Linked DNA regions of Nothobranchius furzeri. The protein of the gene in region 2 interacts with the protein of the main gene of each other region in a biochemical or structural test. Links are inferred from orthologs where the notes say so. Each region holds a gene or a part of one and is shown on either strand. Other genes may lie near its edges. The genes, in order: nup43 and nup85.

Region 1 (16,840 bases), on a different chromosome or scaffold from region 2:
ACACACACACACACACACACACACACACACACACACACACACACACACACACTTTCTATGTACAAGCAGCTTAGTGGGTTTCAGGATCTACACGTAGACCAGATCCCGGCCTTGTTTCCCGGCCTCGAGCTCCGCGCTCTCCATGTCCGCCTCGTCCTCGTCATAGCCCTCGTACTCGATGGGTTTGGGGCAGCTGTAAGGGTGGCCGTTGTCGTCAAAGAAGCGCCGGAAGGTAAACTCGTAGAAGGCGTGCTCGGGGTGCTTTCCTTTGCGGAACCAACAGCTCAGCGTGTCGTTGTGGTTGCCCTCGCCATTGCTGCTCCGCAGCTTTTCAGGGTCCACTGGGTCAAAGTTGGAGGTGTCTGTGGAATGAGCGATGGTGGGGACGTAGGGTGCCACCTGCTGTCTCAGGTCGCTGGAGAAGTCGATTCTTTTGAAGAATGGATGAGCTTTGATTTCATCTGCGCCGTTCTTACCAAGGCGATCCTCTGGGTCGCGGCAGAGTTTAACGATGAGATCCGACGCCTCTGGGGTGAGCTTGGCTTGAGGGGGGATGTGCAGCGTGCTCTTCCAGTTTATCACCTGGTTTCAACGAAAGAGACGCGGCTTTAAGGAACTCCGTGGCTGCAGAACATTTCACAGCAGGTGCCTCTCATACCTTCAGCTGCGTCTCCAGGGGTGTGCTCGCCAAGAAGGGAGGTTGTCCAACAACCATCTCGTACAGGATGACCCCAACGCTCCACCAATCACAGAGCTGAGTGTATCCTACAGTTATACAGGAAATGACATCACTAAAAGACGTTTGGAATTGATTTTCTTTTTCATCAAGATGTCAATATTTAGTTTCTCAGCTTTTATTTTGAAAAACAGAATAAAGCTGTTATTTACCATGATGTGGATTATTAGAGCAAAGATTTGAAGCAAAAATAACATAACTGAACATTTTTAAAGGAAAACTTTACCTGTTCGGAGCAGAACTTCTGGTGCGATGTAGTTGGGCGTTCCCACCAGTGAGTGGGCCAAACAGCGCTGGTGCTGCCGGGCCTTCCTCCTCTCCAGAGGCTTCAGACGCTCTGAACAGCGGCAGTTAGCTTGATCCTCCCACTCCTTACTGAAGTCCATGCTGTCCTGTCTCTCATGATCTCCTGCAGAGATAAACAGACACATAATTTAAGACTTAGACATCTTTATTTGATAATTCCTTGTTGCTAAATGATGCAATACTGATTTAAAATGTGCTTTTGTTGATGTAATTTGGATTTATATTATTGCGCTGTACATTGATAAACAGAAATGTTGAATTGCACGAATCCAAAACATGTCAACAGCCTCCCGGCTTCTACTTTTTAGGCTCAACCTGACCTGAGAGACACAAACGGCAAGATATCTGAAAACAAAAAGGAAGATTTTCTATTGTAAAATCTTTTTTCATCTGTTTGTATGTGAATTTGACAGGATAAATGTTAACATTACCATTGTTTTACAGTTTTCATTCTAAAAGCTTGACGTAGCGACAGAAAAACACCTAACAAGACACTGAGCTTTAGCACCCACCGCTCTGGTAATACTTGGAGTCGTGGGTCCAGCGGAAGCCTGTGCACAGACCAAAGTCGGTCAGCTTTATGTGTCCGTCTCTGTCTATCAGAATGTTGTCCGGCTTGATGTCTCTGTGGATGAAGCCCATCTTGTGGACACTCTCCACCGCACAAGTGAGCTCTGCGATGTAGAACTGGGCCAGCTCTTCTTTAAAGATGCCGAGCCGGATGAGGAGGCTCATCATGTCCCCCCCGGGGATATACTCCATGACAAAATACAAGTTCTCCTTGTCTTGGAAGGAGTAGTAGAGACGCACCACCCACTCGTTGTCGGCCTCGGCCAGGATGTCCCGCTCGGCTTTGACGTGGGCCACCTGGTTCCTCAGCAGCACGTCCTTTTTGCGAAGCGTCTTCATGGCGTACAGCGACCCCGTGTCCTCTTTTCTCGCCAAGCACACCTCGCCGAATGCTCCGATGCCGAGGGTTTTGATCCGCTTGAACATGGACTTATCCATTTTGGCGCGCATTTGACGGATGTAGTTGGACTCCTTCTGGTAGAGCATCATACGCATCTGCTTCTGGGCTTCGTACGACAAACCCACCTGAGGATGGGGACCATAAAAATAAATAAATGCAGCTTTCATGCAATCCATGTTAAAATGAGACGTTAGTAATGAATGGAAACGAGTGACACCACCACAAAACGAAGTGAAATCTATCTTTCCTGAAGTGTTAATGATCAATTTACCCCAAAACAAAAATGTGCGTGCAGTGCACGGAGGCGGCTGCGGGATGGCATGCCACTCTTCTCATGCTTTCACTCGATGCAGGAGAAAATACAGATATGAGACACTTGACACCTTACTTGTGTAACTGATGTGTGTTTGGGCTTTTCTGAGTCACAGCACAGGAAAAGATACTTTAACCTCCTAGGTCAGCTGCTTGTGACAGCAAGGAGAGAAAGGAAGAGAAAGAACAGCTAAGAAAAACTTAAAAGTGTGGAAAAGATCGGAGATTTACCAAGATAAGACGGGGAAACCAGGTCAAAAAGAGAAAAGGACAGTTTCTTTTCATAGATGGTCTCACCCTGTCCATTTCACACTCCAGCTGCTTCCTCCTCCGAATCCTCTGCTGATGGTTCTTCAGGATGTTCTCCATGTGTTGCTCCATAAAGAACTTGAAGGCTTGGGGGGAATACAGATTGACTCTCCCAGACTCCCCTCTGCGCTCCTCATCTTTCTTGTTGTTACGGCGAACAGGAACAGGTGATGTTGTGATTTGTTTCCTCTCCTTCTCCGCTGCCGTGGTGCTTTCAAGACTTTCTGACACCTTCTCCCTGGAGGCGTCTCCACTGCTGCCGCTGCTGCAGCTCCTCTCCTCCTCAGGACTCTCCTCTCTACCCGCAACAAGCTTATTGGCTGCAGCGTCGTACGCAGGGGGCGAGGGTGCAGCCGGCTGCTGTAGGAGGTGTTTAGGGTACGGTGGAGGAGGGCCTATATAGTTTGGTGCCTCTAGTGCTGTGGGGATCTGAGGGACCTGAGGTGAAGGTTCTGGGTAAGCAGGCGCAGCTGGAGATGCTGAAAGGTGCTGCTTCCATGGAGGATGTGTGGGAGCGACGGCAGTGTGTAGCTCTGGTTTCTGGACTTGCGTGCTCGACACCGGCTGCAGGATGGGAGCCTGAGTGATGGCCGTGACCGTAGTGGCAGAGGGCTGGGAGCTGGCTTGATGAGCAGGTCTGCCGTTGAGCTGGTGGTTGTTAAATGAGTTTGAGCGGACTGGCACGTTCTGCTGCCATGACGGGGACAGGTCCTGGTTGCTGTTGCTCCAGTTAGACACCAGCATGGGAGGAGGGATGTTTCCACCGTTGACGTACGAAGGAGAGGATGCCGGCTGCTCGGTGGGACTGTGTCGGCTGCTCTGGTTGACTGGGTATGGAGGAGGGGGTTGTCTACTGCTCCCTGGTATGTAGTCCTGTTGAGCGGAGCCATTCTGAGTCCGAGTGGAAGGAGAAGTGAATTTATTCCCTGAACTTTGCATTATGATAGGCTGGTGAACTACGGGCCCTGGGTTGGCCCCGCGTTGATTCTGAGGAGGTGGATTTGGGTACCCATCAGGCCGAGCTCCTTGGGGAACTGGAGAGATTCGTGGAACAAAGTACTCCACATTCCCAGACCAGCGCTTGGTTGATGGGTTGTTGTCCCAGGGAGAATTAGAAGCCGCGACACCGCGGAGTGGTGGGTAGACAGGAGGTGGCCCGGGGCTGTCGGGGCGGTACACCATCCCATCTGCCATGTGAGGACCGAGGCGGGGAGCGAGGGCCTCCTTAGAGCCCTTCCAGCTAGGCCTCCTGAGCACCACCTGCTGCATGTGAGAAGATCCTACACGACAGTAAAGATCTTGTCAGATTTAAGTGAAGAACAAAGACAACTTAAACTAGGATTTCACTGGGCTGTGACTGTAGGCGGCAAAAGGAAAATACATAAAAATATAGAAAAAAAAGTTTTCTACAAATCGTCTCAGAAGAGATGCTCATGACGCCCCTCGCGGCCTGGCCATGTAAAGAAGCTGTCATAAGTGTCGTGTAGGCACTTCCGAGCGACTAAGAATCTTTTTACACAATTACTTATATTATCAGTATCACATAACAGTGGAAATTACAACCGATACTACAGATGCATCTGTGTTCCCTCTACGTATATAATACCAGCGAGAGCATGAATAAGCACCAAAACCCTCCGTTCTGTTCTGTTATGAAGCTGTACAGTGACTCATGTTTGGAAGCAGGTACTGTCACCATCCTGATCCCTGCAAACAATATGAGGGCTGAGTCCAAAGGTCATGTAGAAGAAAGAAGGAAAACTAACACGGATCCCAGAGGACTGTTACCTGGAGCTTTCAGGCCTGAAGAGCTGGTGTTAGCAGCCATGACCGGCTCCCTCATCTGGTCCTGGTAGTTGGTCGCACCGCGACGCTACGGAGGCCAAAGTAGATCCATTAAGAAATTCCTTCTTCATGCAATGACTTATAATTTCTAATCTACAATAAAAATGATTAGAAAATTAACAAAAGATGTTTATAATTTAAAAGAATAAAACAATCTAATTTTCCCAAGACTGTTGCTTTTCACCCTCTGAACACGGTTGAACCCGCGCACCTGCGCTGCCTACCATGATACTTTTCATCATGTACTCACGCAAACCAGACGCTTGTTATTTCACATTGCATACCTAGCATTTCCCAAATAACTGCCCTCTAAACACAGTGCAGCAGGTGATTATCTTCTATTACAAAGGCACGAACAGAATGAGAACCTGTCACAATTCCTCATTAAGAATGTGTTTATGAGGGCAAAAGGGATAAACTCTTAATAACTCCGCTTACCTCCTCAAACCCGGCGCATGGTTGCTCCAGACACATCGGTTTGTTAATGTCTGAAGTGCTTGATGAACCATTCACCTCGTAGGGCACCAGGGACTTGCGAATCTCCTGTAATGCCTTATGGTGCTTGGGATTGCTGGAGCGCCTTGGATCTTCAGGAGCCATCTTTCCGTGTCCGCCGTTGTCCACTTTAGAAGAATCAGAAGGTTTGGACATGTCGCGCAGACTTTTTCGGATTTCCATCAGCATTTGCTGGCTGTTGCCGCTGCAGTTGCCGACCGGTAATATTTTGGGCCTCATCTGTCTGTATCCTTCGGGTTTCTCCCCCCTCCTCATGTACGAGCATGTATGATGATGACGATGATAAAAGGGATGGAGAGGATATCACCAATCCAGGGTGGCGACAATAGCGGACGTTTTCCCGATGTCTGACCTCACATCTATGTGCTGCAGCGGAAAATATTTGATGCCAGTTGAAAGTGAGATAAACAAGCAACCAGAGTACACATAATGTTACCAAACAGGTTCAGCAAAATGAGATTGAGAGAAGTAATTAACAGAGCCCAACTTATTTCTTTACCAGAACGTTCCTACATATTTTACATTTCAGATCTACTTTCATTCTTGAGCTCAAATGTTAAGATATTTCTGCCATTTTTAAAATGTAAAGATATGAACATTTACTGTAAATTTACAGTAACAAGGTCTGTATACTATAAATAAAAATCACCACTGACTGTGCAAAACAACAACAAGGATTTCTGGGAATTTCCCCTAAATAAAACTAGTTATCTGTTTTTAATAAGCTTGTATTCCTAATGAAAAAGTCTAATTTGATTAAAGATCAGGTGTATATTTAAAGCTATTTCCACTTAGATCAACATAGAGCTCTGAAAATGTTTGGGTGAACTTGTGATAAGTTGAAAACAGTGAGGGAAACATGTGGAAAGTGATCATTTAGAAAAGTTTTACAATACAATTCGTTTTTAATCAAATTAAAACCTTCCAGAAAATAAAGTCTAGGAACACACACGTTTTCTATATTTTGTTCTCAATAATTAATGATCTGGAAATACTCAAAACATATAAGATACTTTTTCATGCCTCTCAATCCTTTTGTAAATAAATAACCTGTTTCTGTCACGCTTGGAAGTCATGTGTTGATAAAAAAATAGTTATGATTGTTTATCGTTTACTTTTGAGTGAAATTCGGCGTACGTAAATTTTAAGGTAAAAAATGTCTCGATTGGAACTGACTTCATTAAAAGACCCCATTCCGTGTGTATAGCCTCCTTAGCACTCTATGCTAACATAACGCTAATTTTACGTAAATTCTCCGGCGTTGGGTACGGATTTTTGTCACAATTAAACGTTTATAAGGATAGTCAAAAGAGTGGGCGAATACTGAGTTTAAGAGTTTTAAAAAGGATTAAAATCAAACAACACAGCAGTTTTCAAGCGGCCTGTGTGTAATAGGAATCCATTTGATGCTATTCAACAACAGGTTGCGCATTAGCCTGCTAGCTCCGATAACAACAACTCACCAAAGTCCGCCGCTGTCGCTTTTCCTATTATTAACGGACAGTAGTGGTTTGCTGACCCTCCTCGGCGTCGAGGACGCGATTTGAAGTTAAAATGCCCTTGTTGTTCCGCGCCGACTGGTTCCTAGTCTTGTTGAATTCCTGGGATATCTGAATGACAAGTACAACAGCTAAGCTAACGACGCACCATCAGACGCTGGACTTTCACAATAAAAGTCAGTGGAGAAATTACTTTTTTGCTAAGTTTAGAACAAAATAACACTAATAAAACTAATGAAGAAAATTTTAATGCTTTTTTTTATAAGTTTTTTTTTGCTAACCTGTTAATGAAGTCCAAACACATTTCACAGCACAAATCTTAGAAATAAAAAAATAAGAGCATTAATATGTATAAAAATAAATCAATTTCCCTTTGGGTGAGCACATAACATCTATTTGTAAATTTACAGAGCAACATAAGAGCTCACAAGGCTGACTTTGACATTTTTATGTTGGTAGGTTTGATTTACAATTTTACTTGATTTGTCAGTATAAAAAAACGTAACATCCTGAGACAATTTGAGAAAGTTACATTTTATTTCTTTATTGTTTTTTAAGTAATCTGTACAAAACATTATTAATCTGAACAATTGTGTACAGAATGACATACAAAAACACTAATCCATATTCTGTCACTGCAAAGAATGAAGCATTGCATCAGACACAGAGGTCTTTCATTGCGTAGGTATATTGGCTTTTTGTGTAACAAAAAAAAAGTCTTCCAATGTGTCACAAAACATCAAATTAAAATTTGCATTCATGTATTTATTAGTCACCTCCAGATCTTTTAAACTGGGACCTGTTTGTTGATAAAAATAGCCTCTCCATCAGTTCCACAAACTAAGCACTGTCCAAGCACATCCAAGCTGTTGACAGACAGCGTCTGGCTGGGCAGCATGTGGGTCGTCTCCAGGCGGCTTTTACTGGAGTCTCCGTTGAGCCAGGCACTGATGAGGGACTGGTTTCCTCCAGCAAGGGCCATCGCACTGCGAGAGGTCACGCTGCTGTTTCTGCTACCTGGAAACACAACAATAACACTTTTTACAGTGAAATTACGACAAATAGTACAACATGACAATGTTTAATAGACTGACCTGGTGTTGGACATTATCAGGAAATTCTTTGTTTATTTAACCCTAAATAATGTAAACTTTCAGTAAAACATTCAACTGGATATTTTCTTGATTATGGCTTTTGTGTTTCCATAGAATCTTTATAATTAAGAAAATAGAAGAAGTACATAGGCAGCCTTTTAAACTGAATACCAATAATAATAATAATAATGATTATTATGATGAATAGGACTTGCCTTGTAGAAAGGAGGGCATGTCTGAGTGGGAGGACGTCTCCCAGTGCAGCAGCGATCCATCCTCTGAACACGTGAACAGGTGATCTGGGTTGGTAGGGTGGAAGTGGACCTCCCACACTGCCAGGAAAGTTAGACAAAAAGCATTAAAAAAGTGAAAAATATTTAAATATGTGTGTAAATTATATGTCCATTAAATAATTAAAAATGTACATCTTACTTTCAGCTGAGTGGGCCTCCATGAGGGATGAGGGCATGCTGCCTTGCCTCACATCCCACATACAGAGCATTCCATCCTGGCCTCCTGTGGCTACAATGTGCTGCTGGTTTGGATGTCTGTCAATGCAGTACAAAGGAACTCTGTCTCCTGACCTGATTGGAGGAAAATTAAAATCCACATACATCAGCAAAATAGTAGAATTAAAAATGGGGAAAACGTGCTAAAGCGGATCTTACAAGGACAGAATCTGTGATGCCGAGTTGCTCTGTTGTCTTAGATCCCATAGCTTTATTTGTCCGATGGAGTTCACAGTCAAAATCTCCGTCGTCCTCAGGTAAGTCACAGCATGAATCGTGCTGCTGTCAGCATTCTCTACCAAATGTACCCGCAAAAGCATGTTGACTTGACACCGAGTTAAAGTGTACAGAGTTCTGAATGGGGTGGTTTAATCTCACCTATGACTTGAGCCATACAATCCTGGTCGGCTCTGAGGACAATAATCCTGCCGTCCTCCCCAACTGTGATGATCTCAGGGCTGCTGCACACAACTGCAGTGCAGGGAGCATTGTCACAGGGGTAATGGTGCGCTTTCACCCACTGCTGGGAAACTGAGATTGTCTGATGTAAGAAGAAAAAATGATTTTATAAATAAACAGCAAAGGCAGCAACACAACCTTCATACAGGAGTTGACATCTTTTATGAAAGCTCTACTGCACCTGACTGTTGTGATGGTGGCGGAAGATGGTGACTGCTCCCGTTGATGAGGCCGTGACGATTCTCTCTTGATCCAGGAACTATAATCAAGTAGTATAATCAAGTCTAATTTGGAGGAATTGGACAGCTGAAGCTCGACTAAAACTGAGTCATGCAAAACAATGTCCCACGCACGTGTCAAAATTTCAACAGAATGGCTGCAAAACAAATGAGTCTGTGTTGCAAATCCTCCTGCTGACTATAACAAGGCTGTGCACTGAGAAATCCTGCAGACCTACAAAGAAACAAAACTATTGATGCATAGAACAACAGATTTGCCTTCTGTATTAGCAAAATTCTGAAATGCGCAGAAAATGTACTTTATTTGTTTTTATGTGCATCTCTGCAGGGTTCATTGTTGTTTTAATTTCTTTAAAGTGCGTACAGCACTTTGGTCTGTCTTCTGGTCGATGTAAAGTGCTTTATAAATAAAGTTGATGGTGATGAATAATTGCATTATTAGTATGTTATGACATTATTGTTACAGCGTCTTACCTGGAGGCCAAGAACATCTCCATCGTGCTTGTTTTCACAAATAAGCTGCGGATCTCCTTCAAATCCATCTTCCAGGCCCGAATTTTCGTAATTACCCACGGACCAAATAGATATCTTGTTTTCCTACAGAAATAATTTTTTTTTTAAATAAAGGCCACATCCTTGCAAAAAAAATGACCAAAACGAACCTGACAGACACACAAAAAAGCAAACTATGTGTAACAAGTGTTAAATCCTTTTTGACAGTTACAACGTGTAAGTGTGCATAATCAGGAGAAACACAGAACATTTGAAAAACTGGGTAAATTTGGTTCACCAAAAATATTCAACTAGCCAACCTCGTTGTCCCACGATCCCGTCGCAAAGATTTCTGGTTGTTGTAAAAACGAAGACGACACAGGACGCCATCTGGCCTTGCTGACTTTTTGGGACACGTACTTAGCACTCTCCATGAGAACAACCAACGTTTCTGCTGCCTAAATACGAAAAATATTCTTATTGATGTTAGCTTAGCTCTATGTACGCACCCACTAGCTTTAAACGTAAGTACGGTGGCTCAACAGGATCAAACAATCTGATCTGCGTTTCTCGCAAGAAATGTGAATTTGTACATTCCGCCACCTAGCGGTCGTCTCCGTTGTTACTGCGGCAAAAACCTGATAAAGCACTGCATGGCTGAGGAACGTGGCTTTTATTCCCTTTCGTCTGACGCTGACTTTGATGCATCATGAACAGATTAATTATATTCTAAAATGACATATTTTTCTGCTTGGTCGTGCATCTGAGAGGCGGCTCTGCTCTGTAAAATCATTTGGATGTCTAGTGACGTATCCGCCGCTACGCCGTCTGCTCTGGAGGTTGTCAGCTTCTTTGGTAAAACTATTGGCGCAGGCGCGGCACTTACAGCTGCTGTCTACTTACTCCGTAAAGTCTGCTTAATAATGGCCTGGAAATCTGGAGGAGCCAGCCACGCAGAGCTTGTCAACAACCTTCGCAGTGAGTCCGGTTGCAGGTTTAAAGCGGCAGCAGCGATGAACTTCACCGCCGCGTCGCCAGAAAACGTTGTAGTTTGGAGGCTGGGGTTAGCTTAGGAGCGGTAGCTACTAGCAAGCTATGTTTATGGTGACCCAGCGTCTCCTCCCGCCTCTCCACCCCTTTTCCTAAACCACGTTTTTCGCTGTGGGACCATGTGTGGGACAAGGCAACGCTTTTGTCACAGCAGGGGGGAAAAACCCAGCAGAAATGACATTTCCGTTTTGTTGTAAATCGCAGAAAAGTGGTGTCCTGTGGGAAGTTAGCTTAGCATGTTAGCAGTATGTGCGTCATTTGAGATTTTATGCTACTGCCCACTGTCATTGATGTCTGTGTCTTCTACTGGACTTCAATGTGAATGACAGTAACAGCTGTACATGTCCGGATAGTTTCTGCTGAGCTTTAATACTCGGATACATTTAAATAATGACAAGTTGCTGTATCACTGCAGCTGTTAGCTACATAGCTCTGTGCCAAAGCCCACGACTCATTTCCATTTAAGAAGCCTGATTGTTGAACATTTTCAAATTTCTGTGCATATATTTTAGCTGATGTCTTTCCATGGACATTTAATATCCTTTCACAATATTTTAATAAGAAATCGATCAACCTTAGTCGATCTGCAGAAATCAAAACAGTTTCTTTATTGTTTGCACACATTACAACCTGCAAAATGTGTTTTAAATTATCAAACAAAAAAGTCAGAGTAATTTTGAGAATTTTGTAGGAGGGTGTGCCTAGCGTCAGCTTGGCTTTCTGGGCTTATAGACACGACCTATTTTTCCAGTTTATATCTAGTTACCAGTTCAGATCTTGTTTTTTTATATTCTAAATTAATAAAAGTTTATTCATGTAACCAGCCTGTCAAAAAGACAAACTATGAAGTAAAGAAAACTGTAATGCTGGCATAGAAGTAGGGATGTAAAAGTCAACCGAAACCAGGAACCGATACCAATGCAGTTGCCTGAAAGTGGCTTCACCATAACTTGTCATTTCTGTTCACCTAATATTTCAGTTTTGTGATCATTTCTATGAATATATTTTATTTTTTATCTACCTCACAATCTTTTCCTGTTGAAAGCAGAGAAGAAAATAAAACCTGTATTCCAATTCATTGCATTATTTGTGTGGTAGAAGTATCGGCGAGTACTCAGATCCAAGTATCAGTATCGTATCGGTTTGGACAAAAGTGGTATCGGTGGATCCCAAGTATGCTAAAAGACATACAGTGTCATTTCCTGGTTCTCCAGGACAACAATCCAGCACATTTTAGACATTTCTGTTTCAACACACCTGATTAACAGGTTTCTCTGGACCTTGATGACATGTCTAAAAGGTAATATAACCACTGAAAATCATTACAATAGCAAAAGCATCCTGGTTATTGTTCCAGGAAGACCAGGATTGGACACAACTAGTGCAAGAGGAACCCCTGACAATTGTCTTTATGGTGTTTTTGTGATCAAATAAAAGAAAAAAATGTCCTAACACCTTCTGTTGCCTTTGCAAAATACTGTACATCAGTAAAAGATGGATGACTTAGCTGTTACGTGGTCCAGAGTCCACTATAATCAACATCATGGCTTCCTCTGCAGTCAGTCAATGATGACTACTGTAAAAATATCTTTAGACTCTTTTTCTAGTGCATTTAGCAAATGAAGATGGGATATCTGCAAGCGCGATACTGCAAATTAATTCTCACTCTTAAGTATCTACCAGGTCTATTTGTATTGTGTGCAGTCTGGGATGTTATTGCAAGCTGCAAGTTTGCCAAAAGCTGCGTTGTTATTCACTGTGTTATATTTTCATTTATAGGGAAATTAACGTAAGTTATACAGAGTTTACATTTTTAGCAGCTCACAAGTTTGCAAAGCTGTGCAAAAATAACATTTATTAAATTGAAAGCCTTTAAAAGAAAGTCGTTACTTTGATAATTTTTAAATCAAATTGGTTAATCTTACAAAAGCAGAAGCATAAAAATAAACAAATAAAAGGTTTGATTCGTAGTAATCAGTTTTTCTTTTCTCTTTTTTGCCTCTTGTGGTCTGACCTGTATAGACATTTAACCCAGAGTTTGCATAAGATGCTTTTAAAGAGGTCACATGCAGAACGCATGCTAATTCACCGCTAACTTACTTTCCTGGTAAATAAAGGCAGTTTGGACTGTCTCCAAAGCCTCACCTGTTTCACTGGGCTGCCTCCAAATTTTAACATAAATAAAATCATGGTGGACAGCCAGCAAATAAATTCGTGTTATTTTTTTATTTGTAAATATGAAAGAAAACGACAGGAAGGAAGCAGCTCAAATGGTTTATTGATCATTTAAATGTCAGAAATCAGTGGTGGGTGTCTATTTGGCAGTTTTATTTGGAGTGTGTCCTAAAGCTGCGCGTTGCTCCGTGGGTGAGGGGAGCGAGGAATGAGAACCGCCTGCTGTTGGCTTTTTCTGTTTTTGGCACAAGGTGCTGCAGTGATTGAGGATGGATTCAAATTTGAATTAATCAACAGTTTTTGCATCCTTTCGGCTTCTTTTCAGCTCCAAACACGGATTATTAACTTTGTGTGGTCGGTGCAGCCTGTTTTTTAGCTGCTGTTTATAGTTTATCTGACATGTCCACAAGAATTGGTCTTGGTTTCTAGTTGGGGGTGCTGTAATATGCAAATGTATGACTTTTCATAGTTTTTCCCCCTCAATTTTCAAGAATAAAGCAATGATATCTTATTGTATTTTAGTGAAAATGTGTTCAATTTTTGCATTTTTTCAGTATCTAAATTATTACTTTTATAAATGTTTTATTCTGTTTTAGATTCACCTGACTGTCGTTAGCCACCAGGGGTTTTTGCTGTAGGTGTTGTGGTTAGAGCTTTCTCCCACATTATGTATTCATTTATATAATGCAACACAAATCGGGTGTTTTTTTTTAATGGGGGAAAACGTGTGCACAACAACACATCCAGTTTGGCGCTATGCAGTCGTTCTTATTGAGTTGGTGATAATTCGCAGTGTTGAACGTGTTGCAGCGCCCTCTAAGCAGCAGCAGCAGTAATTGTGGTGGTTTGTTTCTTTTCTGCATCAACCCTTCTGCCCTTCGGCTGCAGGATTATGTAACGTCTCTCTGCTCGCGTTTCCAGAACACGCCGTGACACAAACTCTTTTGCATCCTCAGAAAATGGCATTATTAAGTCCGACAAGGTGTTTGAAGTCATGCTGGCCACAGACCGAGCGCACTACTCGAGGTGTAACGCATACATGGACTCGCCACAGTCTATAGGTAGGTGTGTTCACGGATCATCGACGCGTGGCAGTTGGACATCAGAGGATAAACTAATCCTTCCTTCTTTTATCAACAGGCTATCAAGCAACCATCAGCGCACCGCACATGGTAGGCTGTTTCTGCACTCTCAATCTTCTGTTTTAGTTAAATTACCGAGACTTCATTTGTGCTTGCCCCCCACCCCTCACCCAGCACGCCTATGCACTGGAGCTCCTACATGATCAGCTGTGCGAGGGCGCCAAAGCTCTGGACGTCGGCTCCGGCAGCGGGATCCTGTCTGTTTGCTTTGCACGAATGGTGAGCCCACACACATGACGGGTAAACACATACGAGTTCTCCTTGGCAGCGCTGTGATGTGTTCGCTGAACCAATCGCTGTAGAGGATTTAAGAATCACGACGGTTCGAATTGACGTTTTGAGCTTAACACTGTCGTCTTCTGGGCTTTTCTTTCCTTTTCTAGGTAGGTCCTAAAGGAAAAGTTGTAGGAATCGATCACATCAAAGAGCTGGTAGACGATTCTATAAACAATGTGAAGAAAGATGACCCCAGCTTGATAACGTCAGGCCGAGTCAAGCTAATAGGTAAGATGGATTCAGGATTAGAGTTTAATTTGGACTTTTTGAACCTGCTGAAGAGCGTGCGTTGCTCCTTACCGGTGGAAAATCTCCCGTTTGCCCGATAGGCCGTCTGCAGCGCTAAATAATTGAGCAGAGCAGCGAGTTCCTACTTTCACCTTCTCAGCAGGAGGCTTGAAGCGCTCTTACAGCCAGGTCATTCACCAACGCAGGCAGACACTCGTGTTCCTCTGTAGGGCTGCGACGAATCAGAAGTGACTTCTATATGACATCACAACACATTTACATTCCCTCGTGTGCACCGCAAAGTAGGTAACGGGGGAACCTTGTTTTGCAGCAATAATCTGCACAGAAGATTCTAGATAGTAGCTAATAAAAGAAATGGGTTATTTAGATTTCTCTGCTTAAATTGGTGAAAAGTCGCCAGCTCTAGGAACAGCAGCGGCAGCAGATTTTTGGACGAGTGACGAATCTGTCCGTGTTGTGTCGAGGCTGGCAGCCTGGAACTGATACCCTGCGGTGTGTTTTCAGTGGGAGACGGGCGAATGGGACACCCAGAGGAGGCGCCGTATGACGCCATCCATGTTGGTGCAGCAGCTTCCAACGTCCCCCAAGCTGTGAGTCATTCGGAATATTTTAGGTTCTGTTGGAATCATGACGCTGGAGGTTTACCCGAAGCATTGACATAATTATTGTTGTTTTGTTATTATTGTGTTGTAAGATCAGTTATAGTTGAGGTTGATGCAGAAAGCGTCTAAAACCTATAAGATCTGGGATCTAAACATTTTTTCTTTCAGTATTTTAGAGTAGATGTTTCATATTTTTTGCATCTAATGGATAATATTAGTGCACTTTTGTTTTGCACTAAACTAAATTCTACATTCTCTATATTTTATACAAATATTTATAATTTGTTCATGCTCTAAAAAGTGTGATGGTTACTAAACTAGTTTACTGTTAGCTGTGTTTTTGTACCAGGCACTCTGATGCAGGCTGTCAGGTCTCTGTATGACCAGCGCCAGAGCTTGGTCCATATTGTCAGCAGGAAGTCGGGCTCTTTTGACCTTTGTCACCGATTCTGTTCATAACTTTTGTGGACAGGATTTCTAGGCACAGCCGAGGTGTTGGGGGGTGGGGGTGGGGGGTGGGGGGGGTCCGTTTTGGTGGCCTGAGGTTCAGATCTCTGCATGATCTCCGGCTCTCATTGGAGCGGTTCACAGCCGAGTGTGAAGCAGCTGGGATGAGAATCAGCTCCTCTAAATCTGAGACCATGGTCGAGTCGGAAAGGGTAGAATGCCTTCTCCGGGTCAGGGATGAGGTTCTGCCCCAAGTGGAGGAGTTGAAAGAGCAAGTCACCCCCTACCAGAATCTTACTCAACTCTCAGTTCCTGTTTGAAAAATGCAGCAAATGCTGTTGCCTGGGAGACCGAGAGGGAGGAACCGCTAACAAATACACACACAGATTCACGACATTGTGACATCTTAATGCACAAGCTAATGTAGTAGGGTACCTCTTAGCCACTAGCGGTGGCAGATTTAAATTAAAATGCAGTGCAGAGTTTTTACCTGAAGAGGGCGCAACACTGACAGTCTTAGGCAGAATATTTAAATTTTAACTAAGATGCACTGAAGTGCCAGATTATTGACTACACGTGTGTACAGCACGGTTAGACTCATTTGTACAGTTTATCACCAAAAAAAGTTGATTAGGGTCTTGTTCCCATGTGAGGGAACGATGGAGCGTGAGATCGATAGGCGGATTGGTGCTGCATCTGCAGTGATGTGAGCGTTGTACCGATCTGTTGTGGTGAAGAGAGAGCCGAGCCGGAAGGCAAAGCTCTCGATTTACTAGTCAGTCTACGTTCCTACCCTCACCTATGGTCACGACGTTTGGTAGGGCTGCTCGATTATGGCAAAAATAATAATCACGATTATGGTGACTGAAATTGAGATCACGATTATTTGGGACGATTTTTCTATTTATGTTGATTTTATTTGTTTTTATTCAGTCATAAAATTGCTCAGGGCACAATCAGGACAAAAATAAATAAGAAACAAGATGATCACTAAAATAACTCCTGATTCCAGTATAAAAAGACCGATATACTTTTAGCCCATAGTCTATGACCCAAGGGCTGTAGACCTTGGTTTAACTCATTAATGTCTAACCAGTACAGATCCAAATACCAATATCTTGCAAATACTGACAGCAAAAATGATACAGTGGCATTTATAACAAATAAATGCAAATAAATTGATGTTCACAAAATGTTGCATAACATTTATTGAGTCGTGTCAAGGTGCTGTAGGAGCGTGCACTAGCACCGTGTCCTCAGAGAGATTAGTTATTAGTTATCAGCGTGAGGAACTTATTTCTACCTTATTTATAAACTATTTATTTACAAGTCCATCAGTTGATGTAATAATTGTCCCAACCACAGCTGCACCCCCCACCCCCCAACCTGCTCTCACAGCAAACGGGGCAAGCTGCACGTGTGTTCAGCACGCGCACATTTAGCCGTTTTTAGCGGCTCAGGAGTCTGCAGGTGCGGTGTGTGTGTCACTCACTCTGGTTACTCCAACAGGGAGCCGGCTCCGAGAGCTGTTTCTTTAGCGACCGACACATCACTACATCATTCCCTTTCCTAATGTCCTGAAGAACGGTCCGGAGCACAGGCGGAGTGTTTAG
Region 2 (15,490 bases):
TTGGGGCGGCACCCCCGGTCCAGGTGTGGCTACGACTGTTGGGGATGCTGGTCTCGGCTTCTGCACTGGTGCCTCTAGGGCTGCTCCACCTTAGGCCCTTGCAGAGGTGGTTCAACGGCTTCCGCCTGGATCCCCAGCGACACCGAAGGGTCGAGCTGGAGGTCACGAGCAGCTGTGTGGCTCTTTTGCGTCATTGGGACGATGTCACCTACCTGAATCTCGGCGTGCCGCTTGGCGTGGTTCCCGCTAGACGGGAGGTGGTCACGACGGATGCGTCACCCCGGGGGTGGGGGGCGCATTGGCAGTGCAGGTCGGTCCAGGGGTTGTGGAGCCCCCGTCAGGCACGGCTTCACATCAATGTCCTGGAATTGAAGACCGTCTACTTGGCGCTGAGGCGCTTCTTGCCCTTTCTGCGGGGCAAGCATGTGCTCATCTGAATGGACAGCACCTCGGCAGTGTTCCACATAAACCATCAGGGGGACACCAGGTCATTGCGATTGTTGAGGGAGGCTCAGACGCTGTTGACCTGGGCTTACCCTTGCTTGGCCTCCGTCAGGGCACTGCACCTTCCGGGGTGGAGGAACTCGGTGGCGGATTGCCTGTCCCGGCGGGGTCTTCCCCCGGAGGAATGGAGGTTGCACCCTCAGGTGTTGCAGAGGGTGTGGCATCAGCTCGGAGAGGCCCAGGTGGATCTGTTTGCCTCGAGGAGCAGCACGCATTGCCCCTTGTGGTCCTCCCTGGCAGAGGCCGACGCCCCTCTGGGGATGGATGCCCTCGCACATGCCTGGCCGTTGGTTCGGCTGTACGCTTTCCCACCTTTCCCATTGATCTTACCAACCCTCCATCGGATGAGGGACTCGTCACACGAGGTCCTTCTGGTGGCGCCAGACTGGCCCATGAGGGTCTGGTTTCCATTGCTTCTCAGTCTGCTGAACGGGGAGCCGTGGCGGTTGCCGGCGAGACGGGACCTCCTGTCTCAGATGGAGGGGAGGATTTGGCATCCGTCCCCAGATCATCTTCGGCTCACGGTGTGGCCATTGAAGGGGGCAGACAGCCCCTAGTCGGCTTAGAGCCCTCCATCCAGCAGGTGCTGGATAGTGCCAGGGCTCTGTCTACAAGGGCCACGTACGCTCGCTGTTGGCAGCGGTTCTCTACCTGGTGTTCCGGCAGGAACGTGGACCCTGGTTCTTGTTCCCTGCATGAGGTTCTGCGGTACCTCCGGCACCTGTTTGACAAGGGCCGGGCCACCTCGACCCTTAAGGTACACCTGGCAGCTATTTCGGCCAACCACCTCTTGGTGGATGGCAGGAGCATTGGGGCTCACTGTTTGGTGACCCAGTTTCTGTGGGGCGTGAGAAGGTTGCATCCTGCCTTGTGCAGGCCGGCACCTGCTTGGGACCTTCCCCTGGTCCTGCAGGCCCTGTGTGGGCCACCCTTTGTGCTGATGACTACCGCCCCGTTGACAGTGGTGTCTGTGAAAACCGCCTTTCTCTTGGCAGTGACGTCGGCTAAATGGGTCAGTGAGCTGCACGCACTGGACATCAGACCCGCCTGCCTGCGGTGGAAGGCAGATGGGTCGGGGGTGACACTGTGGCCCAACGTTGCCTTTCTTCCCAAGGTTCTGCCCTCTGGCTACGTAAATGCCGCAATCGAGCTGGGGGCGTTTTTCCCTCCCCCATTTCATTCGGAGGGACAAAGGCGGGCGAATTTGCTGTGCCCGGTCTGGGCACTGCAGCTCTATATTGTGGCCACAAACACTGTCCGGCATTCGAACCAGCTGTTTGTCTGTCACAGAGGAGTGAACAGGGGTCGGGCCCTTTCGAAGCAGAGGCTGTCGCATTGGATCGTGGATGCCATTGCGACGGCTTATGCGGCAGTGGGTGCAGTGGCTCCCCCTGGGATCGTGTGCCATTCCACCAGGAGTGTTGCTACATCCTGGGCGGCGATGAGAGGTGTGCCACTGGCGGACGTCCGTGCTGCGGCGTCCTGGGCAACTCCGTGCACGTTTGCACGCTTCTACCGCCTCAACGTTGGCCACGGGTCCACGCTCGCTTCGGTGGTGCTGCCTCTGGCGGCTACCTCCTGAGTGAAGGTGAGTTTTATGTTCCTTGTGACACTGCTGTCATAAGTCATCCACTCTGTTTACTGCCACTGGCAGTCAGGAGGGAACGAAACAGAACGGAAGTTACTGTGTAACTATGGTTCTGAGTTCCTGGATAACTGCCAGTTACAGGAGTCACTCGGAACTTCTCGGGCGAGAAGATCCTGGGAGACCCGAACGTAGCTATCGGCGCGTAATTTATAGACTTGTTTACATTAGTACTCAACCTGCGCAGAGCGCGAGGAGATACATCCACTCTGTTTACTGCACTGGCAGTCATCCAGGAACTCACAGAACCATATAGTTACACCGTAACTTCCGTTAACCGTGGTGTTTTTGTATTTATCAGTGTGATTAGGGTGTATTTGTATTGTTTTTGAGTAAGAATATGAGTGAATGTTGTTTTTGTGCAGTGAATGTTATGTATCAAAGCTAAAAGTGAAGGCAAGAAGAAGAGCTGTTGATTCGTTGAGTTCCCGCAGCTGAATGAGCTCTTATAGCTGTTTTACAGCCCTTTATATAGCCGGTATGTGATGATATACAGGTATAAGTTTTAATTTAATTTTATTTAAATTCTAATAATTCAAATTTAAATATCTTTTGATAGGAAGGTCATAGCGTAACAGGACCAAGTCCTGCCCCCCTAAATCACATACAGGCTTTACGTTGTGCACTCCAATTTGTTGTACGAGCTTTCGTTCCTGAGATACGCCCACTTTCACGTCACGTTTTGTGTATCACAGGAACTAAAGCTCGTAGAGACAAGTGGACACTTCTGGTGTGCTCAAAAGTGTTGCTATGTCAGAGCATGGTTGCAGTGCGCTGCAACCTTGCATTCCGGAGATACATGCGGTATTAACATTCACTCATGTTCTTACTTATCTTACAACATTACGTCGTGGAGCCATGGGACCAAGCTGTACTCCCACTAAGCATGGAATCACGCATCCAATGGTGCCCTCTATTTCCTCGTCCTTTCCTTCAGATTTTAACGTCACCAAATCTCAAACTTTGATTGAGAGTAACTCTGGAACGGTACCTCGTAGAGCTATGGAACCAAGGTCTACCTGGTCCAACCTGGTCATTGCACATGCAGTGGTACCACCCGTAAGACTTTCCCTTTCCAAATTACTGTCAGACTTCATCAAAATCATGCTCGAATATGTCTGGACAGGAAGATTGTGCAGCCACGGGAATCTTTTCCCTCAATACCAGCCACGGGCTTTCCAGTGGTGTCATCCGCATTGTTCTATGACCTCCCATTGCCGAGATATCGAATCTCAAAACCAGGTATTAACCAGGTCCGAGTATTAACGAGGACTCCCTGCTTACGTTCCAATATGACCCAACGTCTACTACTGCAATGGGGATTTTTCAGGTGGCCATAACTCTTGATAGGAACGTCACAGTGTCACGGGACCCACCTCTACCCCCCTAAATCGGCCCTGGGCTTTCTAACGACCTTCCCTTTCTGAGGTATGACCAGACCAATGTCTTTTTATTGATCTGTCAAAAGCCTTTGACACTGTAGACCATGTGTTATCATGTTGTGTCCCTTTGGTCCCCAGCCCCCTCCTGGTTTCCCTCATGTTCCCCCAGTCACTTCACTTGTTTTTAGTTTTCTATATGTTCAGATGATCTAGTCCCAGATAGCAAAAAACATTATTTCAATGTTTATTCAACCAATTCTTGCTATCTGGGGTCTTATCTCCTTTAGTGTGTTGGGTTTCCTTCCCTATTTAGGTCATTAGTTTACTTATCTTTAAATCTCCTGTGTCTTTGTTCTACAGTGTTTAGGTTTATTTTAGTTTAGTAGCTTTGTTTTACAGGATTTAGATAGTTTTCTCCCCTGCTTGTTTCTGCTCCTTCTCTCAGTTCATTAGTCTCACCTGTGCCCAATTTCCTTAATCATCCAGCCCCTGTGTATATAACCGTCTTGTCTCTGTGTTTTGTTGGTCCGTTGTCTTGTCAGCGTTGTTCTAGTTTCCCTTCTGTGCTCGCTAGGTTCCTGCTCATAAGTTTGACCTTTTGTTTTGGCTTTCAGTGGTTTGTATGCGAGGCTTAGATTCAAGCCCTTTGGATTTTTTGCAACTCCTCCTAAATAAAGGATTCTTATTTTTGCAATCACTCCTGCCTGTGTATCTCTGGGTTCTTGCATTTTGGGTTCAAGCCTCCTGCCCTCAACGTGTAAATGCTGTTTTAAAACAAAAGCTTCTTTGTTTGGGATTGTCTGAACATGCAATCCCATTGTTCACAGACTACTTCAAGGACATAACTCAATGCCTTAATTGTGATGGGTTGTCCTCTGAATTTTTTAGTGTTCACAAGGGAGTACCACAGGGCTCAGTCTTGGGACCCCTCTTGTTCATTATGTATATCAATGACTTATTACAAAATGTGTCAGATGCTTATATGCACTTTTACACTGATGACACAATCATTTACTGCTTTGGAACTTCCCCCACTAAAGCAGTTGAATTCTTACAGAAAGCTTTTGGTCCAACAAACACTTTGTAAAAATTTGAGCTAAACATATTTGGAATATAATTCATGAGAAGGGTCAATAACTGGAAAAATGAGATTGTTTTCATAAGAAAAGGGATCAGTTGAACTGTAATGACCCTGTTTAATAAAACACAGCTGCTGTTTTTGTGTCGTGTTGCGTGAACGTGATTTTTTTTGTTTACAGTTAAATAATTTAAAACAATTTGATATGTTTGATATTTTGATTTATTCTAATAATTTCCCAAAAATGATTTAGAAACAACGTAAGTGAACGGAATGAAGAGATATTTATTATCAAAAAACAAACATTTGATGACTTGATCTTATTAACAGTACAAAAATGCAAAAGAAGAGCTTGTTTTTAAATCTGAATCTACTTTATGTCTGCATTGTTCCTTCTTTCACAATAGCTGAAGCCAGATTTCTGGCCAGGGCGAGTCTCAGCATCTCCACCTTGGTCACCTCTACGTCTTCCTCCTGAAAACAGAAAGACAGATTTTAAACGTGGAAACGGCAGTAGATAATCACTTTAACATCAAACTGGGTTTGGTTTGTGTTAAAACTATGAAACAGGAATGTCCAGCTGCTGGGACGAGCTGAAAGAAGAATAAAGACCTGCATGGGTCTGCCTGATCCAGAAGCAGCAGTGATCAGAGAGGAGGTGAGCTCCTCTAAGCAGTACATCAACTCATAGGTTTGCTCTGCAGAGAAGATCACCTGAAAACAAGGAGAACAAGTTACTCCACTGAAACTCCAACTGTTCGGATTTTTTCATCCACATAATAAAAAATGACAAATAGCTCAATTTTTGATATGCTAACTCTTACAAGAAACATGTTTAGTAGTCAGTTGGTTTAAATGGTAACTAGGCAGTTTTAGCACCCCCAAGAAATCTCCTCGCTGTGCGTTCGTCTTTTTAACACCTTAATCTAACAGCTGAAATGACTCCTCAGCCTTCATTAGTGTCTACAGGAGTGAGTCGTCACCAAATCAAACATATCAGATGTGTTCCCGATCCAAAACATGCAGGAAGCAGACTGCAGCGCCAGGTGTGTCAGCTCAATTTTTTACCGGCACTCTGGGGTTGCAAGTGGGATATTCTGCCACATGGGGGGGTGGGGGGGGGGGGAGAGATGATAGGAGCTGTGTGGCCTTTAATTAACCTCAAAAAGGGTCATTTTAGCACAAACTGGCTCAAGAAAATGACTTCAAAATATGAAAAAGTTGCAAAGTGCCCCTTTAATAAAACAGGGGTAGTAATGTTCACATTAAAAATAACATACGGTAGTGTGTCACTCAAAAAAACTACATAAATTAATTAATTTTTAATGATGAATAAAAAGTTCCACAAATACCTACTTAAAGATAGATATTACTTATTCTATTTGTGCAGCATTTTTCATGCACACAAAACTCTGACCAGGAGGTCACAAATGATCTTAAACAGGATCAAAACATTCATTTAACAACATCTGAATGCTCCAGATTTGTGCATTTAACCCTCTGATGCATGAATTATGAGATCTTCAACCATGATTTTTTAAACAATTTGTTTCATTCATCTTTAGGTGTGAATTAAACAAATTTCAACAAATATTCTTTGTAACATTTTGTTAATTTACAAATACTTTATTACATGTCTATCTCAGTGGACAGCGTGCATTCTGAACATGAAATATGTTGGCTTGCCTTACTGAAGTCCAACTGGAGAGGCTCACATGCAATAAAGTCTTCAACAGCTGTGCTTAATAGCAAAAATAAATAAATAACTATTTTGAGTACCTGTCCACTGTAGTGACCATTATGCATCAAAGGGATAAACTAAAGTTCTTGATTTTGTAATAACAAATCTACTTTAAACCGATGTTCAGGTGTGGACTGACCTCTTTCTGCTCCAGCAGAGGCAGAGCATCCGTCAGCAGCGTCATCCAGAAGCTTTGGGGAGCGATTTTAGCCGTCATGAGGGAGAGTAGCAGCTTTGCAGCATCGCTGAAGCACTTCTCTCCGTACAGCTTGTGGAACTCACGGTATTTTCCTGGAGAGAATCATTTCTATCAAATCATCCTCCAGAAATTCTCACCATCACATGTTGTTGCATCAAGCGGATACTGGTTCTGTTTCTATTAGTCTTGTGTGTGTGTGTGTGTGTGTGTGTGTGTGTGTGTGTGTGTGTGTGTGTTCAGGCTCCTACCAAGGAAGGTTAGCCTGTCGCTGAGCAGCATGGTTGAGCCCAGGTTGTCGATCAGATCCAGATCAGAGAAGGTGCCTTTGGCGCAGTAATCCTGCAGGAACCTAAAACACAAACACAAAAACAACTTCAAATCATTTTCAGAGAGAAAGACATTTAGTGAACTAATAAGCCCAACAGTGATACTTATAAAAAGCTTAAGAAGCATGTAGGTAAAAGTTAAATGTGTTCCTGGAGAATGAAGATGAAGCTGTCAGTTGTGTATATTTCAGTAAGAGCACCACTAAAGGGATGTGACCTCTCTGAAATCAGGGTGGCAAACGCAGCATCTTTGGCTCGGATGCTCCAGGAGAGAGCAGAGCCCAGTCGGTTGTTCCTTACAGCCCGCATGGCCATGATCTTACAGATGCTCCGCACTGGGACCAAAACAACAAAAAACAAACCAGGTCAAGCTTTTCCAGCCTAGCTTACACCAGAGAGATTAGCTTTGTGACACAAACTGATAAAAAGGACGACCGAGCCCCTACCCTGCTCTGACATCTGCCTCTCCTCACAAATTCGGAGCACTTTGAGCGCTTTGCGCTCCGTGTCCAAAGGAACTCGCTCGATCTGCAGCTCCAGATAGACGCGGCCAAATTCTGGGCAGTGATCGAAATAATCCACGGCACACTGCCAGAGACTAAAAACACACAGAAACATCTGGTTAGTGAACGCTAAAATAACAGAGAACGACTCATATTTCAATGTTTGGATCCAGTTCGATGATTGCAGGACATTTTTTTGTCGTCGTTGATTTTCTGTGTGACTGAAACCCAAAACACAAGTGTGCCACTAGACAGTCCCTCAGGTGTAAACATGTTACTGTGTGGTTAAACGGTCACAAGGGAGCCATACCTGTGATGCGTGAACAGACCAGAGGCGTATTCTAACAGCAGGAACTCTCTCAAGTTGGATCCAAAACTACATACACACACACACACACACACAGATTAGATTAATTAACTGTGTAATTTTATCCTCTCTGGATTAAAACCAGATAAAAGAAATCATCCCTACTGGAGATTATGAGACTGGAGGAGTTTGCAGTGATCCAACAGGTCTGTTAAATGAGCCACAAACCACCAGTTGTTGAGAGCAATACTGCGGGGACAAGGGAGACGCCGACCGTTCAAGGACTCGTGAACTGACTTGTTAAGCACCTTGAATGTGATTAATATGGTAGACCCTGTCGGTTACCTGCAGTCCTTGATGACCTGATGAATGTCAAACTCAAAGGCAGCCAGCAGGATGCTGTCCAACGGCTCCGGCACGCCCGAATCCAGAAACATCATCATAGACGACTGCAGACGACACAAACACACGGGTCAGGTAAACTACATGTGCTCAGAGTCAGTGCTGCAGACTCGGGGGCTACCTGAGCGTAGTAATGCAACTCTGTGGGCTTCACTGTGGGATGGCAGTAGAGGAGTCTGGTGATGAGGAAGTAGTACCAGGTGCTGAGAAGTTCCTTGTGCTCCAACAACACGTCTTCATCCCCCAGTAGGATCTAAGGTTGCATCAACACCCTGTTTGATTCAGTTCACATCAGAAAACGTGACCAAACCACAACTCAAGCTGTCACTGACTTTGCAGATGACCTCCAGGTGTTGGTTGCTTGCAAATGAGTTATCCTTCAGGTAGCGGTCCACCTCCTCGTGCCAGTTCCTCCACTTCACATCAAACTCTGTTAGTGTCTGAGTGCCGCCAGGCTGAGAGGGGTTTTTGGAAAATGTAGGAAATAAAATCAGCAGAGTCATGTTTTAATATTTAACAATAAGCAGAAGTTTAAAATCCAAGTTCACTTGCTTTCAATACATTAGCAGTGATCACTAGTGTAGACAAATGCCTTTAGAGTCAATCACTGTGGAGAAATAGCTCCGGTGCTCCTGTTTCAGGAACAAGAAGTTAGCCAGAGGAGTAAAGAACAGAAGAATGAGGGTTTATTAAATAAGTTCATTTTGTCTTTGTTATAAAATAAAATTACTTCTTTTTTTAATAAGACAGTTTAAAGAAAACATTTTAGAAGCCTGAGGGCTTTGGAGTCTTATTTCCTGATGCTCTGACATTTCAGCAACACGACTCTATCACTGACTGTTACCGTTGCAACATTGATTTTATCCCAAATAACACAAGCCTGGAGGAGTTCTGCTGTGTTGTGGAGTTACTAATGCTAACGGTTAGCTTCTACTAGTCTCTGCCGCTTCCTGGACACTAAACCAACAACAGCCGTAATGAGCCACGATGAATGCTAAGTTACAGTGTGACAGAGATCTTTGTGGCTTTTCTGATCCAAGCGTTTCCACGTCAGTTTTCTATTGAGAGTCTTGATAAGTTTTCTCCTCAGTGAGGCCCACCACATGTGTCCTGGACCCTATTCCCACTAGTTTTTTTTAAACAATTCTGATTCTTTTAGAGATGCGGTTTTAACTATGATGAATTGCTCTCTTCAGACGGGGGTCTTTCCTGCCGCTTTTAAATGGGCGGTGGTGAGGCCCCTGCTGAAGAAGAGCAATTTAGGTTTTAATGACTTAAACAATTATCAACCGGTTTCCAACTTACCATTTTTAAGCAAAATTTTTAGAAAAGCTTGTTTTAATTCAACACCCATAATATCTTAGAAAAATTTCAGTCTGGTTTTAGGGTGAACCACAGCACCAAGATGGCCCTTCTGAAGATTTTAAATAATTTTAGAGTAAATTATGCTAAACGGAAGGTGACTGTGTTGGTTCTCCTGGATCTAAGTGCTGCCTTTGATACAGTAGTATTCCTTTAACTCTGAAACGGATCGGCCGATGGTTCACTTCCTACCTCACAGACAGGACTTTTATGGTGAGTTTGGATACCTGATCCTCTAGGGTTCACGGGATTACATGTGGTGTGCCCCAGGGTTCAATTTTAGGCCCAGTGCTTTTTAACCTTTATATGCTCCCTCTTGGCAGTGTCATCAGGACACATGGGGTGAATTTCCACAGTTACGCGGATGATACACAGCTGTACATCTTGGTGTCTCCTGATGACACACAGTCAATGGATGCACTTTTTAACTGCATTTTAGACATCAAATCCTGAATGGCAGGAAACTTTCTCCAGCTTAACCAGGACAAAACTGAAGTTTTAGTAATCGTCCTGAGGCCCAGAGAAAGAAACTTTTACCAAAACTGCAATCAATGCCTTTTAATCCATCTTCACAAGTGAAGAACCTGGGTGTCATCTTTGACTCTGAGCGGACTTTTATCCATCATACCATACCATACATTTATAAAGCACATTTAAAAACGGCATGGCAGCCGACCAAAGTGCTGTACAGAATAAAAAGTAAAAACACAATATAAAACAATACACAGTCAACAATAAAATGCACAACAAGGCAGATAATCACGGTCAATAAAAGACACATAATAAAATAATAAAAGTCAGGGATTTAAAAATGCCTGGTCATAAAAGTGAGCCTTAAGTAGCGACTTGAACCGGAGGAGGGATGGTGCCAGCCTCACTGAAAGAGGAAGAGCATTCCAGAGTGTCGGAGCAGCATAGACAAAAGCACGCTGCCCCCGCGTTTTGCATTCCATTGTTGGAACGCAAAGCAGCAGGCAATCAGCAGACCTCAACGCCCGGTTTGGCACATAACGAGTCCAGGGTATATACAGCAATCCTTAAGTAAAATTTACTACTTTTTAATACCTTTTTTACTACCTTCAGAATTTTTTTAAAACCATCACAACACTAAATTGCAAGTGTTAATCAGCGACCTATTTACACATATTTTAACATATATAACATACAAAAAGAATAGACTTAGAGACTCACTGATGTTGACAACGTATTGCGCATATTTATTTTACTTAGAAAATAAGCCAGGCACTTCTGTTCAGCGGTTCAGACAGTTGACCACGGGGCCTGAAATGATGCAGAACCACTGAATATGACGTCATCATAATGTGACCGGATATGCTAAAGTAGGGCTGCTCGATTATGGCAAAAACAATAATCACGATTATTGTGACTGAAATTGAGATCTCGATTATTTAAGACGATTTTTCAATTTATGTAGATTTTTTTTTTATTCAGTCATAAAACTGCTCAGGGCACAATCAGGGCAAAAATAAACAAAAAACAAGATGATCACTAAAAGAACTCCTGATTCCCAGTATAAAAAGACCAATATACTCATAGCTCATAGTTTATGACCCAAGGGCTATAGACCTTGGTTTAACTCATTTAAGTCTAACCAGTACAGACCCAAATACCAATATCTTGCAAATACTGACAGCAAGAATTATACAGTGGCATTTATAACAAATAAATGCAAATAAATTGATGTTCACAAAATGTTGCATAACATTTATTTAGCCATGTCAATGTGCTGTAGGAGCATGCACTAGCACCGTGTCCTCAGAGAGATTAGTTATTAGTTATCAGCGTGAGGAACTTATTTCTACCTTATTTATAAACTATTTATTTACAGGCCCATCAGTTAATGTAATAATTGTCCCAACCACAGCTGCACCCCCCACCCCCCAACCCGGTCTCACAGCAATCGGGGCAAGCTGCACGTGTGTTTAGCACGCTGCACGCGCACATTTAGCTGTTTTTAGTTGCTCAGGAGTCCGCAGGTACAGTGTGTGTCACTCACTCTGGTTACTCCAACAGGGAGACGGCTCCGAGAGCCGTTTTTTTAGCGACTGACACATCACTACATCATTCCCTTTCCTAATGTCCTGAAGAACGGTCCGGAGCGCAGGCGGAGTGTTTAGCTAACCTGCAGGAAATGTCGACGACAGTTATCCAGAAAGTAGCTAAGGGTTACCAGAGATGTTTCTGAGGTGTTCGCTAGGTACTTTTAAGATTTAAAAAGTCAAGAAGGGGGTCTGAAAAGCTGCTAGAAATAGCATCAAAGTCGCTAAGTTGGCAACGGAGCGCTTCATTTGTAACAGGGCAGCTCAAGTGGGAGGAGCAAATAATCGGCTTGTTTTATTTTTATAATCGTTCAAAACATTTCATTCGGAATATATTTCTATGTCGATGTTCAGAATACGACACCTGATAGTCTGAAAAAAATAATACCTAACTTGGAAAAAATAATACCTCTGAGTCCAAATTTAACACTTTTAATGGCCTTAAATTTGACTATTTTTATTTATCAATTTTTAATACTTTTTAAAACCCCGCGGACACCCTGGAGTCACAAGATCAGAGAGGTAATCCGGAGCCAGACCGTTCAAAGTCAGGATTTTAAACTTGACTCTGAAGTTTACAGGTAGCCAGTGGAGCCGCGCCAGTACAGGTGTGATATGGTCTCTTCTAGGGGTGTTTGTTAAAAACCTGGCTGCCGCATTCTGTACGACCTGAAGCCTGAGCGGAGGCAGGTAAACCAATTAAAATGGAATTTGCATAATCCAGTCGGGAGATGAAAAAAGCATGAATTACAGATTCCAGGTGTGCTCGTTTCAGGATCGGTTTTAAGCGGACTAGTCTGCGCAGCTGATAAAAACACGATCTGACCACTGCGTTAATCTGAGGGCCCATGGAAAAGTTTGTATCCATTTTCACCCCAAGGTTGGTAACACACTGCTTGAGGTCATATGGGAGAGTGGCCAAATCAGAAGATACGTGTGTGGTTTTGTTAGGGGTCATCAGGAGTGCCTCCGACTTAGAATCATTCAGCTTAAGGAAATTGTTGGCAAGCCAAACCCTCACTTCAGCCACACATTGGTCCAGAAGAGAGAGGGAGCCTGGTTTGTTCAAAGCCAGGTAGATCTGGCAATCATCTGCATAAATATGATAGCCCAAGCAATATTTCCTCCGGATGAAATCCAGGGGGAGGATGTAAATTGAAAACAGGAGAGCCCAAGCACAGATCCCTGCGGGACTCCCCATGGAAGTGGAAGGAATGTAGAGGAACAATTACCCAACTGAACCTTGAAAACTCTGTTTGACAGGTATGAGCAGAACCACTGAAGTGAGGTACCCCTAAGCCCTACCCATGACTCAAGTCTATCCAGCAATATATCGTGGTCAACGGTATCAAATGCTGCAGAAAGATCTAATAGTAGGAGTAAAACAGGCGACCCAGAGTCAGAAGCCACCAGGATGTCATTGGTCACGCGAAGAAGGGCTGATTCAGTACTGTGAAGTGGCCTAAACCCAGACTGGAACACATCAACCAGAGAAAAGCTATTCATGTGTGCTGTAATCTGTGAATAATCTTTTCGAGGACCTTAGACTAAAACGGTAATTTAGAGATTGGCCGAAAGTTTGCAAGGTTTGAGCTGTCCATACCAGTTTTTTTTAATTGGTTGCACAACCGCCTTTTTAAAAGAAGTAGGAAACACCCCAGTAGCCAAGCTAGAGTTAAAAATGTCTAAGATGGCGGGGCCCAAAATAGGGATGATCTCACCCACCATCCTCGGGGGGAGAGGGTCCTCAGGAGAACCTGCTGGTTTCATATTTCCAATCAGATCTGACAATTCACTAAGAGATATGGGAGTAAAGTTACAGAATGAGGGAGGTTCTGGTGGTACATCAGGACAGCCAGATCCTGGTTGCACAAGACTATCCCTAATGTCCCGGACTTTGTGAAGAAAGAAGGTCTGGAGCTCAGCACACAATGACACAGAGGGATCAACACTACCAGGTTCAGTTATTGACAAGATGGAGTTGACAGTGCTATAAAGTTTATGCTGAGAAATTAAGCATGCAAAGTATTTGTTCCTGGCAGATCTAACACTTCTCTGATACAGGTCAAGGGCATCCATCAGAAGCTGCTGTGAGATTAGTAGCTTGTCCTTTTTCCACCTTCTTTCCAGCGCCCTACAACGCCGCCTGAGGCTGCGTGTTTCACTGTTCAGCCAAGGATCAGAGGTGGTTTTCTTCCGTTTAAGTTTAAGGGGAGCGACTGAGTCCAGGGCAACAGAACAAGTCAAATTAAAAGAATTTAAAAGCCAATCCACATCCGTGGTGATCCCAGATGAGGAAGGATTGGATAATTCAACCTCCAGGATGGACAGTAGTGAGGCAGTTGTGGAGGGAGAGATGTGCCTTGAGTAGCGAGGAGCCTGCCTTCTCACCACAGGCAACATGGCAGAGATGTTAAAAACAACTGAAAAATGATCTGAAATACTGACAGGATGAACAACCAAGTCCTGCACCTTCAGTCCAAATGATAAAACTAAATCCAGTGTGTGAGAGTGCTCATGAGTAGGAACATTGACCAGTTTCTGGAGGCCAAATGAAACCAGAACATCTGAGAAATCTCTCACCAGAGGATTCGACAGACAACAAACGTGAATATTAAAATCACCAAGGATAATACCTTGGTCGTACCTGGGGAGATATTCAACTAAAAGGTCAGAAAAGTCCGTAATAAAAGCAGAGTTATATTTTGGTGGTCGGTAACACAGAATAAAAAGAATTGGAGGGGAGAGACTGAGTTCAAAAACAGAGACCTCGAAGCTGGTGGGGGTGATGAGCCCGGGAGGCACTTGAGGGGGAGGGAGGATGAGTACATAGTCAATAGGCCCCCACCTCGACCCGACAGTCTGGGCTCATTCACAACAGAATTTGACGGACAAAGTTCAGCAAGTGTCGCTGACTCACCCGGTGGGACCCACGTCTCCATCATGCAGAACAAAGTTAATCCATTATCAATAAAAAAATCCTTTAAAAGCACTGTTTTATTCCCCAGCGAGCGAACATTTAGTAGAGCAATCCTGAGAGAAGATGAGGAAGTTGAGGACAAACAAGGGCGAGGACGCTCTTTGCCGGACCTCACAGGATAGGTTAGATTCCTCCAGTTTACCCCGCCAATACGACGCCTCCGTTTGGATCCCCAGCTGACAGGATCGCAGGGGTGGACATTAACTTCAAAACCAACCGGCCAGCCGGGCCGGTAAGTCTGAATATTTACCGGCCCCACCAAGAATCTACCGGCCCCGCTGGTCAGCAGCCAAAACGAGTCAAAATAACAACTGAACCGTTTTAAATGTAATAAACCTTTATTTTGTACACATTCACAAACATAATAACGTATTCAAGTTTGAATTTGTTTGTTCCCTCAATAAAACACGATTTTGTCGTCGCATACTTCCGGCATACAACGCAGTACATCACCAACTCCGCTTTGCTGTACTCGAGCCATTGGCCGCGTTCGAGATGAGCCAGTTCTGCGCAGATTAGACCAGCGTTGATCGGCGAGCAGTGCATGCCGGTTAGATTTGTGTCCGACTTGATGCCGACTTGCTCTGACGTCATGCATACGTAGGCAACGATAACCTCGTGAGATCAAGGCGGCCGCAGATTTTGGAGCAAGGCGCTGCAGTTTCTCTCCCTCAGCTGCAAAACCTAGAGGATGATGGGAAACGCCTGGCTCTCACCTGATCTAAGATCTGATTGGTTCATATTTTTATCCAAACATCCAGTGGTAGAACATGAAATGTTAGTTGGTCACATGTATTCTGTAAATCATGTTATGTTGATGATGACAACTATATAGGCCATAAGGAGAAATGTGTTTTGTTTTCTTTTGTCACGTTTCCTAGGAGCAAACTGAAGCTACAGCTGATAACCTTTACTTATTATTACAGTCATGTTTTCATATACAATATATGATATCCACAAGCATGTGATGATGTGTTTCAGCTGCTAACAGGCACCAGAAT

Evidence for each region.
Region 1: the proteins of nup85 (region 2) and nup43 form a complex in vitro, tested with the Homo sapiens proteins (2 studies listed by BioGRID). The link is inferred for Nothobranchius furzeri from reciprocal best matches to the Homo sapiens genes NUP85 and NUP43.

Annotation. Positions count from the first base shown.
Region 1 is NC_091742.1:11,407,336-11,424,175, forward strand, and holds nup43 (nucleoporin Nup43), read right to left. Parts: upstream 9,941-16,840; 5' UTR 9,721-9,940; coding exon 9,607-9,720; intron 9,392-9,606; coding exon 9,269-9,391; intron 8,815-9,268; coding exon 8,737-8,814; intron 8,638-8,736; coding exon 8,475-8,637; intron 8,392-8,474; coding exon 8,256-8,391; intron 8,172-8,255; coding exon 8,020-8,171; intron 7,920-8,019; coding exon 7,799-7,919; intron 7,511-7,798; coding exon of another isoform or gene 7,507-7,510; coding exon 7,281-7,506; 3' UTR 7,012-7,280; downstream 1-7,011. Other genes in the region: serine/threonine-protein kinase LATS1, read right to left, coding at 88-582, 659-765, 963-1,145, 1,555-2,137, 2,622-3,913, 4,422-4,506, 4,917-5,249; pcmt (protein-L-isoaspartate(D-aspartate) O-methyltransferase), read left to right, coding at 10,084-10,264, 13,468-13,572, 13,652-13,683, 13,768-13,872, 14,037-14,157, 14,683-14,768. UniProt on the Homo sapiens protein: Component of the Nup107-160 subcomplex of the nuclear pore complex (NPC). The Nup107-160 subcomplex is required for the assembly of a functional NPC.
Region 2 is NC_091752.1:54,268,815-54,284,304, reverse strand, and holds the end of nup85 (nuclear pore complex protein Nup85), read right to left. Parts: intron 8,543-15,490; coding exon 8,420-8,542; intron 8,341-8,419; coding exon 8,209-8,340; intron 8,135-8,208; coding exon 8,031-8,134; intron 7,935-8,030; coding exon 7,851-7,934; intron 7,755-7,850; coding exon 7,689-7,754; intron 7,474-7,688; coding exon 7,322-7,473; intron 7,211-7,321; coding exon 7,093-7,210; intron 6,899-7,092; coding exon 6,798-6,898; intron 6,642-6,797; coding exon 6,490-6,641; intron 5,324-6,489; coding exon 5,222-5,323; intron 5,084-5,221; coding exon 4,985-5,083; 3' UTR 4,875-4,984; downstream 1-4,874. UniProt on the Homo sapiens protein: Essential component of the nuclear pore complex (NPC) that seems to be required for NPC assembly and maintenance. As part of the NPC Nup107-160 subcomplex plays a role in RNA export and in tethering NUP96/Nup98 and NUP153 to the nucleus.